3 linked regions of the Rattus norvegicus genome follow. The protein of the gene in region 2 binds, or shares a complex with, the protein of the main gene of each other region. Links are inferred from orthologs where the notes say so. Each region holds a gene or a part of one and is shown on either strand. Other genes may lie near its edges.

Region 1 (5,374 bases), on a different chromosome or scaffold from region 2:
TTGCACTTGGGAGGTGGAAACAGGAGCGCCAGGAACTCAAGGTCAGCCTAAGTTAGATGAAGTTCTGCCTCAAACAAGACAAAACAAACAAAACAAAACCATGTGATTCCTCAGCATCATGGGTATCTAAGGCCTGGGAGGGCCTGAATGTTTAGCATCTTTGAACAGCTTTCTCTTCACAGTCTCTGCCAATTTAAAATTTCTTTCAAGACCACCCCACTAGTTAGCTTAAAATAGCCTCTAACTCAAGTTCCTTCCACTTCCCTCCCAGCTTTGGGATTATAGGTATGCATCACCACAGCCACTTAAGTTTAAATTGTATATTGTAATTATACTTTTTTATATTTTCATTTTTATGGTTTTGGTTTTTCAGTACAGGGTTTCCTCTGTGTAGCCCTGGCTGTCCTGGAACTCACTCTGTAGACCAGGCCGGCCTTGAACTCAAGAGATCTGCCTGCCTCTGCCTCCCAAAAGACAAGATTAAAGCTATGTACCACCACTTCTTGGCTTTTTATATCTATTTTTAATGTGTGTGTGTGTGTGTGTGTGTGTGTGTGTGTGTGTGTGTGTCCATGTGTACCGTAGCTCACAAGTGTAGGTTTGAGAACTATTTGTGGGGTTGGTTGTTTCCTTTAACAATGTGGGACTCAGTGATCAAACTCAGGTTATTAGGCTTGGCGGCAAGCACCTTTGCCTGCTGAGCCTCTTTGCTGGCCCTACTTCAAAATTGTTGCCATGTTGAATTCCGGGCCTGGGCATGCTGGGCAAGTGTTCAAACTCAGACCCATGCCTCATTTTTAAAGACATGCATTTTCTCTAATTAGCTGCTTCTCCTAAACCAAGACGATTTGGGGTGGAGGACTTTCTTTCTTGAGCTATGATTAGTGCTGGGGATACAGACCAGATGGAGAGCTCTTACCCAGCATGCGCAAGGCCCTTACTTTGCTTCTCGGCACTGAAAATAAGGGGGGGGGGGGGGAGGGTTATATAATTCACAGATCTTGAAACATTTTAATTCAAAGTGTACAACCTATGTCACAGTCACAAAGATAGGCAGACTTCAATACGAATCCCAAAAAGTTTAAATCACACGTGCCACTCCCCCCCCCCCCTTAATAGGCACTTCCTATTTTCTCTTGCCTCACTACCGACCACTAACTGCTTTCACGTTTTTCTGGATTTGCCAGAAGTGTATGTGTTTTAGTTAGGCTCCTGGTAGGTAGCTCAGGCTGGCACTGAACTCACTATTCAGTCCAATCTGGCCTGAACTTGAAACCCCCTTCCTTGGCTTCCCAGGATTTATACCAGTATTACAAGTATTCAGCGTCAGTCACAGCTAAGCATCTTACATAGATGGAACCACATAATATGTGGTCTTATGTGACTGCCCTTTCAAGCCAGTCCTTCTGGTTGATTCTGAGCCTCTAAAGGCTGAGTTGTCTCTGAAGCTATTCTTCTGGCTTGCTTTAACTTGCTTTCGAGATTCTCAAGTTGCTCTTGGTGTCAGGACGTTTTTCCCTTGTATTGATAATATACTACAGTGTGCATATATACACCAAATTTGATTTACCCATTCATATTTGGGTCGTATACTAAGGCAGAAAATTAACACGTGAACAGTTTTTCATGTGTAAACCATCGTCATTCACATTAACTTCTCTTTTCAGGTTGAACCGTGACACCTAACGGGGAAAGCTCTTTACAACACTAGACTGCATTACTTTCTCCTTGGAAGCCTAGGCGCACGCGCACGTTCGTGAGGAGGTGGAGAGGTGCCCCGCCCCTCGCTCAATAACTCTTCAGATAATCTCGCAGGCGAATCCTGAGTGGCGAGGAAATGCAACCAATCCACGAATGTGTCCGGAAAGCGGCGCTCCGCAGTGGTTGATAAAGTCTGATGACGTACGCACCATCCAATGCGCAAGCGAAGGGCTGGGCTAGAGTCAGCTGGTGAACCACCTGACCGGAGCCTGGAGCCGGAAGCTACCTATCCGGTAGACAGCTCCCCCTGCACCTACGGCTGCCATGGTGAGTGAGGACGCATGCGCGGGCTTGTGCGCCTAGGGTTGCGCGTCCCTGTTCCCCAAACTTCGGTTACCCCCTTATGGCTTGCACTCCGCTGTCACCCCCAGTCCACCCTGGGACCGAAAGGAAACAGAGATGGAAGGGAGGCGACCGGGAGGGCTGGAGAAGGAAGGCTCCGCTACCGGGTGTTTTGCGGCCGGGAGTAGTTTTGATGGCACAAGGGGCGGGGCATAAGGGCACTGGAATGAGAAGGGGCTGTGAAGCTAGGAAGGTCTCCTGGGTCACCTGCCTGACAAGTGGAAGAGCTCAGGCGTCCAATAGTGACCATGGATGGAGACTCAGTGTTACAAGCCATTTAGAGGGTCTGAAAGGCTTATATCCAGGAGGGAGATGGGTTTACAAGGCTGTCATGGTTCTCACCTCTTGCCTCTTTACCCACTAGACTTCCGCACTGACCCAAGGGCTGGAACGAATCCCAGACCAGCTTGGCTACCTGGTGCTGAGCGAAGGTGCAGTGCTAGCGGTGCGTTGTGGGAAAGCGAGGCATGGGGTGGTGGCGGTGACGGGGTCCTTTGGGGACACACAACCCAGAAATCCCTTCAAATATTTCCCGCTTTCTCTCAGTTGTCTACTTTTGTCCTCTCTGTGGTTCCCTGCTTGCCATATTTAATGTTTGGATATATGGTATAAATGCTTATTTCCAAAAGGTTGGGGTTATAGCTCAGTCAGGAGAGTGAGTTACTTAGCACGTACAAAGCCTTCAGTTCAATTCCCAATACTGCACAAAACCAAACACAGAGGCACGTGATCTGTAGCCCCAGCACTTGGAAGGTGGAAACCGGCAGATTAGAAATTCAGGTTCATCTTTGGCTATGTATCAAGTCAAATCACAGTCTGGACCACATGTAACTCAGCCTCAAAAAACAAAAACCAAACTTTACCAAAGTCATTCAATTAGTTAGTTACTTGTAGTATGTTTTTATTTGGGATATCTTTAAAAAAGCCGAGGACAACCTTTGGGAGTGAGTTCTCCTCCTGCCATGCGGGTCCTGAGGATTGAAATCCGGTCCTTAGGCAAGCACTTTTATGCTCTGAGCCATTTCACCTGCCCCTAGAATTTTGGGGGGCGGGGGCAAGACTTCTCTAGAGGCAAGGATTGAGCTGAGCTGCTAAGACAGAAGGTTGTGAACGAGGAAGAGAATTCTCAGGGCTGGGAGCTGGACATACTTGCCTGAGTGTAACAGCGCCTGGTTGTGGTCTTGTGTTGAAACAGTTTGAAGAGGAAGGATGCTGTGGTAAGACTCTGATACTGAACTTCCTATGGCTAGCTTCAATATCTTTGGACAAATCTTGAGGGTTACTTAAAGGGTTTTGAAAACATAAATGTGACTCACAGAAATGGTGTAGCATGACTGTCCCAGGAGAGCCATCTAAGAGACTGGCCGGGTAGCAATGAGAAGTAAGGGCTATAGACATTGTATCTATTTTTTTAGTGTCTGCACATGTGTGTGCCCATGCATATGCTAAGACCAGTGTAGGACATTAGAGACCTCCTCTTACCCTTCTCTGCCTTATTCCTTGAGGCAGGGTCTCATACTGAACCTGGAGCTAGACTGGCAACACTGAGCAAGCCTTAGCAATCAACCTGCCTGTACACCCACAGTACTGGGATTCCAGGTGTGAGCATGGCCATGTAGGGTAGGGGATTTGAACTCAGGTCCTCTTGCTTGTACAGCAAGCGCTCTTATCCACTGAGCCATTGCCACAGCCCAGAGATCACATCTTAGAGGTATTAATATATGTTGGTAATAACTAGGTAAAGTACTTCTGCATGTACCTTACCTTTCTGATGTACTCATCCTGTAGGACTCTGAGCAGGGAAAACCAGAAAAGTACTGTGGTACCTGAACAAATAAGAAAGTAAAAAAGGAAGCTGACCAAGGAGGTAGCTAAAGGGAATTTTGATGGCCTGACTATAGACAGGAGATGAGTGAGGTCTGAGATGAGTGAGATGGACTGATAGCAGTTATAGTACATTTATTATGTAGGCACTGTTATAATATTCTCATTGTTTTCTCATGAAACTTCCACAAGCACAGAATATGGGTCCAATATACAGATGGAGAAACTGAGAGCAAAAGGAACTAAATCTAGTAAAGGGCCCATTTAGAATCAGTGGGAAGAGGGAGTAGAAGCAGTTTGTCCAGAGAAGTCTGGACTACTGTCTTCTCATTGACCCTAGAAGTAGCCAGAGGGAAAGCTTCAAAGACAAAGTAGGTGTTTCTGGTTCATAGCCTTCAGACAAGGACAAGTGGGAAGACTGGGGACAAGTGGAACCTTCAAAGATTGAGCAGTTAGCTTAGTGGTAGAACATCTTCCTAGAATCCTCTGTGAGGGGCTGAAGGCATGGGTCAGTAGTAGAACACTTGCCCAGGAGTCCCCCAGTGAGGGGCTGGGGGCGTGGCTCAGTGGTAGAGCCCCTGCCTAGAATCCCCCCAGTGAGGGGCTGGGGGTGTGGCTCAGTGGTACAGCCCCTGCCTAGAATCCCCCAGTGAGGGGCTGGGGGCGTGGCTCAGTGGGAGAGCCCCTGCCTAGAATCCCCCAGTGAGGGGCTGGGGGTGTGGCTCAGTGGTACAGCCCCTGCCTAGAATCCCCCAGTGAGGGGCTGAGGGCGTGGCTCAGTGGTACAGCCCCTGCCTAGAATCCCCCAGTGAGGGGCTGGGGGTGTGATAGATCACTTGGTAATCACACCCTAGGTTTTGATTTTCTGCATGGCTATCAGTAGAGTTGCAAAAGAAGCCTGGTGTCTCAGAATGAGAAACAAAATGGCACAAGGGAAGGCAGCACCATCATAAAGGGGTTTTAGGTAGGATTTTTCTGAAGCTGGGTGATTTGGGACTACAGACAAGGGAGACCATAACAAGTATAGGAAACAGAGGTCCTGTGCCTTGAATTTGTTCCCAACTCTGGCCTCTTTCTTTTGTTCCTGCCCCCCTTCACCCACATGCAGTCATCTGGGGATCTTGAGAACGATGAGCAGGCAGCCAGCGCCATCTCAGAACTGGTCAGCACAGCCTGTGGCTTCCGGCTGCACCATGGCACGAACATCCCTTTCAAGCGCCTGTCTGGTGAGCTCCTGCCTTTGTTGGGTGGTTGCTTCTAGAGACCTCTCTGCTCAGGGAAGGAATTCCTGGCTCCATTCCACTGACTCCCAGTTCCTCCTGGGGTTCCTGGTTCAACTACTGCCTTCATATAGGTTCCTCTAGGACGAGTACGGAGCAGTAAGAACGAGAAGAGGTTTGCACAGCTGCCTGACCTCTGTGATCTACATAATTGCTTTGTCCCATCC
Region 2 (4,646 bases):
AACACCAAGGATTTAATATGAAAAACTAGCACAACAGTTCAGAGCTCAGGAAAGCTACAGAATAAACGATCTCACACACACGATCAGTTCTGTTTCTGTATATAAGCAATCATCTGACAAGGGAATTAAATACTCTCTTGGAAACCTCAAAAAAATTTTTTTTTCCATGTGGAGAGGTTTAATGAGAGAAGAGTAGAAGAAAGGTGGCCGGCCATGAGTACGTGGTGGGAGTGGGGAAGGGGGCAAGAACAGAGGAGAACAAAGAGTAAGAGAGAAGTAAGAGGGGAGCGGAAACCTCAAATTTTTGATAGTATGAGTATCTAAAATATTTTTTATATTTCAAATTTCCATTTGGGAGATTCCTAGATTTAATTCTTGTTTGCACAATGATAAATACAAAGACATAGATGCTATATATGAAGTGACAATTCAGAGAATAATAACTATCTTATATGATCACAGCTTGGCTAAAACTAAAATACCAGGCAGGATCTGGGTTGTAACAGAATAGTAACAGTTTGCTTTAAATATACTCAGGTTTTTTGAAGATATCTCACCTGCACAGCATGGGACAAATCTGATGCCAGGCACTGACGGAGCCTCTCATCACTCCCAATTCCTTGAAGAACAAAGTCAGGAACATAAGATGAGCAGTAGCCACCCAGCAAGGATCTTCCAAAGTTGGCAATGTTGGGCTGAACAGCACTCACTTCAATCAACTTTGACCTAGAAGAAAGATGACCAAAGGAAGGAAAGAAAGAAAGAAAGAAATATACTAAGTAATAAACATCTTTTACCAGTGGCGAAAGATGGGGTGGGGAAGGTTATAAATCTACTAATCTGTCTTTCCAGTACCCTTGCTATTTATACACCATATAAGGAATAAAGTTAGCCTTATATAAAAAAGTGGCCCAAGGTCTAAAACAAACAACAAAATACTGTTCTCTCTTGGAGGAGGTCTCAAGAACAGCATGACTCGTCTATACTTAGAAGGCCGTACCTTACAAATATTTGAAACATGTTCCTAATACAATCGGACTATGAAAACCAGTGTGTAAAGCAAAGAAAGTAGCTAAAAATCTGGCTCTGTACGATATCAAATATCAAATATCAAAGCAGTGATATTTTCCTTGCATACTTGACCTTAAATATACATTCCCTCTTTGTGCTGGCTAAATTTATTTATTCCCTACTACCTGAAAGATTCCCCCTAAGTGTCAGGCTTGTCATAGGTCACTTTGGGAATGTGTATGTACATAATTCACTCCAAAATGGTTTGAAAACTAAGAAAAGACCAACTTCCTACATTTCACTTCTTTATTGTCTCTGATGCCTCCACAGGGGATCATACGGAGAATAATCTTGAATTCTCATTCTGAGTAAAAGAATTTGACCAGTAAAACAACATTAAAAATTATCTTATTAATCATTACTTTGGGTATAATTGCATGAAGTCAGTGTGCAACCCTTGGGAGTCAACTCTCTCCTTCTGAAGCGGTGGATTTCAGGACTCAAACCTAGATTATCTGGCCCATACGGCAGGTGCTTTTTACTGCAGAGCCATCTTGGAGCCGTAACCTCTTTAAAGTTAGATGCTCCCAATCTCTGGAGACTGGCTAAACCAAAGAATATTACACGCTTCTGCAGGGTCTGGTTCAGGAGAAAACTTTCTACTCACCCAGGGAAAGGTATCTCATCCTCTTCTGCCCAATCTTCCTGATCCCCTCCACAGTAACTGCCAACTTGTCTTCTTATGTCAGGACCTGTGTCTTCACTCTCACTATCTCCAAGGGCACTATCTGAACTTTCATTTCTTGGAATGTCCCATTCAGTTCCTACAGCAATTTTTTTGTCTGAACTCTCTTTATCCCCATGGGGGACAAGAATAGAGAGGGCATCTCTCTGGTCCTGCTGAGGAAAGCAGGCATTACACGAATCTTGATGAACTGTTTCTATACATTTACAAAGTTCATTTTGCTGTTTGTTATCTTTTGTATACAATCTTTTTGGATACTCCAACATACAGCAATACTCTTTACTATCTGTACTTGTTTTAACTGGAACATCATCAATAGTCCTGGTTTCAATCGAATCATCATTAAAATATTCATCAAAGAGGCTCATGCTTTCTGGATCTGAATGACTCCAACAAGGAAGCTCACAGGACTCTCCAGAAACCATGTTATGTGTGCCAGAGCCTCCAGATTGGTCCTTAGTGATTTTATTTTCTTGATGCTTCTCAGTCACTCCTCTGTCTTCCTTCAGTGGTTTGCTATGATGTCTGTTAATCTGATCCACCACAGCCTGACTCCGAAGTTCAGTATCTGAATCAGGTGACATAGAATCTCCAATCAAGAAAGTAACCTTTGTCTGAGTTAACTCACAGGAAAATGCACTGGGCACAGTCTTATCTGGAGGTTTCTTTTCTACAACTATCCCTGTAGGTCTCATCGCTGTGCCTGTTTGATTATCTGAATCCAGCAATTCCTTACTCTGCCAGGATTCTTCTGTTGGCTCCAAGCCTGTCTCTGACAACACACATTTGTCTGCTGGAGCAGACCCTGTACAAACAATTGTCTCTAACTTGGTGTCAAGACGAGCTCTTAATTTATCTCTGTACCGCTGAACATCAGTAGCATTTTCTTCTTGGCAGTCAGGAGGAGGAATCTTTTGGCATTCATCTGAAATTCCCAGCAATTCCTTAGAGTTGTCTTGAATATCTTCTCTCTCTAGTTGAGACACATTCTCTGTATTTTGCCCAAGGAGTGGATGGCTGCAATATTTACAGTTACAGTTGGAAGTTCCTGTCTCTTCTGACTCTTTAAAGAGCAAGCTGCTTTTGTTCCTATGCACTGTGATCAGCACATACTCAGATTCCTCTACTTCCCCCTTTTCTAAAGTGGTAGTAATCACTGTGCCTGGCATAACAATGGCTTCGTCTTCTCCATTTTCTAAAAGATGGGTTTCTTGAAGTTCAGAGCATCTGATAAAGTAAGTAAGAAAATAAAGCAGTCTCTGGACCAGGTCTTGTCGTTTGCCAACTACTACAGTTCTTGCTAACCGTACTGGAGACCCAATAGCGCCATACAAATCTCCTGCAATGAAAAGGATAAGAAACACAGCTAAACAGTCTTTCGATCTTGAGAAATCTCCTCATACACGTTCATAATTTACTCTCAAGTACTTTACAAGATGGCTGATTATTCAGGAAAGTAGGATGAGTGGTTTTACTCAGGGAGAAAGGTGAAGAGAGGGGTTTTTTTAGCTGTGTTTCTAAACAGCTGGTGTGGTTTTAAAACCTCAAAGAGCTAGTTTTCAAAGTCAAACTTAAAAATAAGAAAATTCTCTACACTAAGTGTCACACAAAGGAACTTTATCTAGGTGAAGTCTGTTATAAAGGAGGCCATAGTCAAATGTAGAAAGGAAAAAACACAGTAACTGCTACAGGAAGAGGAGAGGGACAGTGGTGGCATAGAGTGCAGCAGGAGTTGTGTTTTTGTATTTTTTTTTTATGGGTCAAATTAAACCTTTAACTCAAATGCAAAACAAAAACTTATAAATGAAAACAAATACATCAATATAAAGCCCTTTTACAAATTTTCAATATACTTATTTAAAAACCTTTACTTTCATGTTATAAAACAGCCATATTTTTGAAAGAATGAACATAAATCTTGAGTGAATATATGCTGCAGACAGAATTGTGATACATTTTTTCATCTGGCTAATAAACTGGCTAGAATATGACAACATCATTCTAACATAATCCTCCCAATTCTCACTAAACATCCAATGAACTGAAACGGCTTTGGCCTGGTGAGTCTGTCATGGTAGGTTCCACCTGACTCTCCCCACATCATCTCCTTAAACTTTCCTTGTGTGGCTGTTTTCTAAAGTCCTCACCTAAACTTCAATGCACACTAGCTTAATACTCTAATGGTCAGAATCCCTAACTGCACGGTGCTCATCTTCCTTATCTCTGCTATTGTCAAGTTTCTCGGCCAGGTGTACCCAACAGTGCAAAGACTGACTCCCCCTCCTAGGCTACCACTCATCTTTCATTTCACATAACTTATCAATTTGCATTTCCATTATTGTAAAAAATACATGCTGCCTATAGTATTATGACTGTAAATCTTTTGAAACAATGATAAAATTATTCATCCATCTTTATATCCTCTTATATACTCTTTGCACAACCCTTAGATACAGAATTTGAAGTTGATTTCATATATCAAAGTTAACGTAGCTGTAGTGCACTCCTTCTACTCCACCCACAGTTCTTTAGCTGTAAGGAATGTGAGCAGGCAGAAGACAACAGGACAATTTAGCAGACAAGAAGGGGCAAGTATCAGAGACACTCTAGAATAAAACTGACAAAAAGACTGTATTTAGTTAGTTTTTGCTTAAAAATGAGTTTTAAGTTTATACACAGTATATGATGTTCAGACTACATACCAAGTTGTGCCCAAAGAGGGTTATATGGATGAGTCTTTGCCAACATGCCCACACTCTGAGAGGAATGTTTTTCTAAAAATATTTTTATAGGTGGCTGTCCATTTGGCATGACTGTTGGAACCCAGGCAAGATGATTGGTCAAAACTGCAGTAATGAGAGCTGGCAAGAATCTGAAAACAAAATGTCTC
Region 3 (5,303 bases), on a different chromosome or scaffold from region 2:
TTATATGTGTGGGGTGGTTCTATACGTCAACCATGCATGCCATAGCATCCATATCAGCCTTTAACCACAGAGCTATCTAACGGTCCTGTTGTTGGTCTCATGAAGCCCAGGCTGGCTTTGAACTTCTTTCAATTCCGAATGCTGGAATTACGTGCCCAGCTCACTTTTGCAATGTTTTTTAATGTTTTGGAATGCTATGCCAGTTATCATGCTTATGTGATGGTTAGGTTTTGGTCAAGTTGATGACACAAGGTGGAGTCATCTGGGAAGAGAGAACCTCAATTCAGAGCATGCCTCCTCCATGAGACTGGCCTGCAGGTAAGTCTGCAGGGCATTTTCTTGATTATGATTGATGAAGGAGGTCCCAGGCCCCTGGGGTAGAACCACCCAAGGCAGGTGGTGTTGAGTTGTATAAAAAAAACACACTGAGCAGGCCATGTGGAGGCAGCCAGCAGGCAGCATTCCTCCGTGGCTTCTGCTTCAGATCCTGCCCTGTCCTTCCGCGATAAACTGTAATCTGTAAGATTCAATACTCTTTCTCCTCATGTTGCTTTCCGTCAGTGTTTTATCATGGCTTTAGAGAGCACACGAGGGCAGCCTGCAGTCCCCCAAGCATTAGTAATCAATAACGAGAAAAGTTTTAATGTTTTGAAATGTTATAAGGTCAGAAAAACAAGTATTATTTCCCCCACTAGTTACTAACCCTCTCCTGCATGGTTTTAGCCTGTACCACTGTTTCTATTGCCATTCATTAGTTAGCATGCAAAGCTGTCACTGCCTGTCATGTTGGCCATTTGTGTGAAAACAGAACCAGCAGCTGGTCTCTATAATTTGCCATTTTATTATGAGAAAAAGAATTAAAATTAAATTTAATTACATTAATTTAAATTAATTAAAGATTTCATTAACATAAAATCGATAATTATCACTGTCTCACTTAACATGCCAATGGTGTTTTCTATATACACCATATAGATCACAACCAGAACACACTTATTAATTTCCACTGATCTACAATCAAAGCAAAAGCCATACATCCAACAATTCAAGCAACTTGAAACCAGTGTTAATTTTTTCAACCTACAGAGGTAAACTGATATCTGCACACAAGCGCTTATAACTTTAGACTCGGAAGATTAGACAAAATAATATAAATAACTTTTATATTATTCCACAAATAGAAAAATATTCATAGAATATTCTGCTTGATGACCTCAAAGGTTGTTCAATCCAATCTGCTGCTTTGTTCTGGAATGTGAAAACAAAGACTCGGGCATTCTTCCCTACCTTCCTTGCTCATCCTTAATGATTACGAGTTCTGAGTTATTTGTAGAAAGATGTGGATGTAGACAAAAGACGTGCTTGTCAACAAAGACATCGTTTTTTTTTTTTTTTGTTTTTTGTTTTCACATTAAACTAAGAATGAGCTTCAATGAGTTCAAGTGAGAAAGTCCTTTGGATCAGTAAAATACGTAAAAGCAATCTGCTAACGTTACCACCTGTTAAGGCCTTTGTAAGAACGGCACCTAAAAACAGGTAGGGAACTGTTTTCTGAGCCAACTATTTTTGGATTATGTTGACCAGCAATTAGGTCCCAATAGTAAAATAGACTTGAAAATAATGGCAAGTCTTAAGCTTTTTTTCTTAAATTTACTTAAGAACTTTAAAAAATAATCTAATAAACACCAATGATAGTGTGTTTAAAAATAATTCAAAGTGGCAAGAAATCTAAGTTCTGTCCCTAGTACCTATCTGCTGTTGAACCATACACAAGTCATTTAACAGCCTGGGCTTCGAGTTATCTATCTAGAAACTAGTCATTACTTACGATACTTGGGGTTAGTTTGTATTAAAACGTGGCAAATAATTACCATGACAATTATAAAATATTAATTTAAAAAGGAGAAACAAAACACTTTGTAAGATTAACATGTTGCGCAGAATTTATTCAGCAACAAATTAGTAATTTCTTACCTTGGCAACTTTTTGTATAGGAATCGCTTTAGATCCTGAAAGAGAATAATTTTTTAAAGATCATATTACTGTGTGCTTTTCTAGCCCTGTCCATACCCCAAAGGACATGAGGTCATCATTTGTAACTGGCATTTCATCTTTTACTTGTATAACTTGGGAGAAGTTAATTAACCTTTTTCCAGGCCTCAGATCCATTGTATGTTTCCTTACATGTATACAGGGATAATCAAATTTCATAAGGTATATATGTTGGTGTACTTGGAATTGGGAAACACAAATACATTATTTACTATAAAATGAGACCATGTGTTTCTTAATAATTTACATCCTGATGCTACTGTGTCCCCTTAGGAATAGTCTATAAATCTCTTCCTATGTCCGTACTGATCTTCCACGATTGTTTTTAATGATCCTAATTCAGATAAACTACTTTAATATCCAGTTTCTTGACAAAGATAATGACAATGTGGAGATTTATCAGAGAACGTGGTAAGGACTAAGAGAACAGAAAGCCACCTTCTCTCATTATACATGCATCTAGAAATATTCCTGGCCAACAAGCATAACTATGACCTCCAGTCTAAATGTGTCCTGTTTTGAACCTTTATCTACAAACCTAAATGAGTATCCTCTCCCATGTTACCACCATGAACTTTTGCTCTCGTCTTAAACAGACACACAGAAACGGAATACAGGTTGCGAAAGGGGCACCCTTTAGAAATCCTTTTAGATTGCAATGCTGAGTCTAATGAGACACTAAGCATTTATTTGGTAGGAAAGTATTCAGAGCACTGTCCTCTGGATCAGGTACTGACTGGAAGGGCAGTCAGTCATCCTTTAGAATTTCCGAAGTTACCCACACAGAGTTCATGTATGCTCCAATAGGATTAGGAGGTGGGAAGAGTACAGTTCTCTCGGGTTAAGAGTGCCCCACCACAACCGTTCCTGATAGAAACTAAGGTCCCTGCAAGTCCTTACTACGGATCCGGATCCGGGAAGAGGGGAGAGGCTAAGGACGGAACAAAATTCTAGCTTCCTCTCAGAAGCCTCATGCAAACCTCCCACATCCCCATTTTTCTTGGGAAGGGGTGTCAACTCACATCCGCCATGATGAACCCCTTTCTCTCGCAGAATCAGTCTCCACTCCTGGAAGGAAAACTTCCGTGACTCCCCCCGCACCTGGGGGTTATTCACCCTCCCCAGCCCCAGCCAGCATCACGAGGTCCACCCTCGCCAGGGCCAAGCGAGAGTTCTGGATCTCCGTCAAGGGGGTGGGGAGGTCCCCAGGACCCTGCCCGGTGGCCAGCCCGGACGGCCCACCTCTCCCCACCCACCCTGTCCCGGAGCTGAGAGAAGGGGCGACCTCTGCAGACGCAACGCGCGCTCCACCTGCCCCGGTGTTCCCGCAGTTCAGTCGCTTCTCTGAAGCTGCCTGTCAAGTCGCTGTCACATTACTCGTGACCTCCGTGGCGATCCAGGAAGCACTTGCTGCACCCTCCAGTACTGGTGATTCGGAACTTCCGGGGAGACCCAGCGGAAACTGCGCGCGCGGCAGCTCCGCCCCCCCCCGCCCCTTCGGAGTTTTCCTGCGCCTGCGCGCTGCGCCCTGCACCCGAAGCCGCTAATCAAGCGTCTGAGGTCCCTGCGCCTTAATTTCTACTGAACACACCTACAAAGGAAGACGGTCCTGTGCGGAGTATGCATACACCTTTCCCAGACCCATTATGTAAATCTTTTTGTGAATGAAGACCTTTGAGAAGCACGAACTGAAAAGCCTACTTAGAAGGCCCAGATCCCTAGATGACCCAACCTACAAGTCAGTTTCCTGAGGGTGCTACCCTACATGCTCTTTTCTTACAGTTTTTACCTAGAAGTGCAGGAGCCATGGACCTATGGGCTCGTTTGTCAAGTCTGTTTTGAACATGCATGCACTGGGCTGCCTGCTTTGGCTCTAGGACCTGCTTTTGTTGTAGCTTTGTAAAAAACTGTCTATATCTTTTGTTGATGTTTGTACATTCAAGAAAGCCTACTGTAAGGGGAAGGCAAGAATGCTTAGCAAAAGGAAGGCTTCTCCACTTGCTTTGGCCTGGTGTTTCCCACCACTGACACTTTGTGACACCACGAACATTCTTTGTGGTAGAGGGCGGCACAGTAGTCCGCTTAGGAGACTCCTGTAGAAAACCCCCAGGACAAACGAAAATCATCTGGGATCTAAATATTCCCCAGTGGCTGCGTGAGCTCGGGGGGGGGGGGGGATTGAAGATGGTGGTTTTGCTGCAGATTAGCTCTTACCTTGTGTGTACCATTAAAGAAAATGTCAGCTGTATGGGAGCCCATACTTGGGAATTCCTCTACTAAATCATTACACAAGTTTCTTTTCATTCCCATAAAGTTTTAACACTTTTATTCTTTGAGAATTTCATGAAATATATTTTGATCATATTTACCCCTGCCCTAACTCCTCCCAGGTTCACCCCCATATTTGTACCCTCCAAACTTTGGGTTCACCCCCATAACCCATCCCAATAACCCATCAAGTCCAGTTTGTGCTGATCATCTAACTACTCCTGGGCCTGTGGGACTATCCAATAGGTCATGGTCAACCTACCAGGGGCCACCCTTAAAGAACACTGACAGTCCCTCTCTCAGAAGCCGTCAATTGTCCACAGCTCCTCATTATAGGTAGGCCCATGAACCATTCCCACTACATGCTAGAATATTGGCTGCCTTGATCTCGTACAGGCCAGCTCAGCCGTGTGAGTCAGCGTGTTTTCGATAACATCGATTGTCCCACACTGCATGAAGTTGTCCTCTAGTGTCTCAGCCCCACTCTTATTTCATCCTTTGGATTTTAGCTTAAGTTTAGTTTCTCCGTGAAGTCTTCCTAGATGTTTCCAGAATAGTGAAGGTACTCTAGATAACTGTTAATAGATAAATAGATAAATGTTAATAAATAGATAAGTATTAATAGGTAAATGTTAAAGATAGATATCAATAGATAAATGGGTAGTTTGTGATCCTCTCATGTTTATCAAAATTAAAACATTCATTTCCTGGACAATAATGTTCTCTTGATTAAATTTACCCTTGGTCTTAATTCGTGAATAATTCCCAGCTCCTAGTTCATTACTGGGGACACAGGAGGGATTCATACATTTTTTTGAATGAATGAATGAATGAATGAGCATTTCAAGAGGATAATATGCTGGGCATGGTGGTGCATGCCTTGGGAGGCAGATGCAGGCTGATCTCTGAGTTGGAGGCTATCCTGGTCTACATAGTGAGTTCCAGGATAGTGAGAGCTACATAGTGAGATTCTTGTCTCAAAA

What was found.
Region 1: Fnip1 (region 2) and Lamtor4 share a complex: the UniProt entries of both Homo sapiens proteins name them as parts of the lysosomal folliculin complex. The link is inferred for Rattus norvegicus from reciprocal best matches to the Homo sapiens genes FNIP1 and LAMTOR4.
Region 3: Fnip1 (region 2) and Lamtor3 share a complex: the UniProt entries of both Homo sapiens proteins name them as parts of the lysosomal folliculin complex. The link is inferred for Rattus norvegicus from reciprocal best matches to the Homo sapiens genes FNIP1 and LAMTOR3.

Annotation. Positions count from the first base shown.
Region 1 is NC_086030.1:22,370,313-22,375,686, forward strand, and holds the start of Lamtor4 (ragulator complex protein LAMTOR4), read left to right. Parts: upstream 1-1,956; 5' UTR 1,957-2,025; coding exon 2,026-2,028; intron 2,029-2,467; coding exon 2,468-2,548; intron 2,549-5,035; coding exon 5,036-5,153; intron 5,154-5,374. UniProt on the Homo sapiens protein: As part of the Ragulator complex it is involved in amino acid sensing and activation of mTORC1, a signaling complex promoting cell growth in response to growth factors, energy levels, and amino acids.
Region 2 is NC_086028.1:39,133,817-39,138,462, reverse strand, and holds part of Fnip1 (folliculin-interacting protein 1), read right to left. Parts: intron 4,629-4,646; coding exon 4,459-4,628; intron 3,096-4,458; coding exon 1,679-3,095; intron 727-1,678; coding exon 558-726; intron 1-557. UniProt on the Homo sapiens protein: Binding partner of the GTPase-activating protein FLCN: involved in the cellular response to amino acid availability by regulating the non-canonical mTORC1 signaling cascade controlling the MiT/TFE factors TFEB and TFE3.
Region 3 is NC_086020.1:229,083,005-229,088,307, reverse strand, and holds the start of Lamtor3 (ragulator complex protein LAMTOR3), read right to left. Parts: upstream 3,419-5,303; 5' UTR 3,338-3,418; exon of another isoform or gene 3,309-3,337; intron 3,121-3,308; 5' UTR 3,084-3,120; coding exon 3,075-3,083; intron 2,010-3,074; coding exon 1,975-2,009; intron 1-1,974. UniProt on the Homo sapiens protein: As part of the Ragulator complex it is involved in amino acid sensing and activation of mTORC1, a signaling complex promoting cell growth in response to growth factors, energy levels, and amino acids.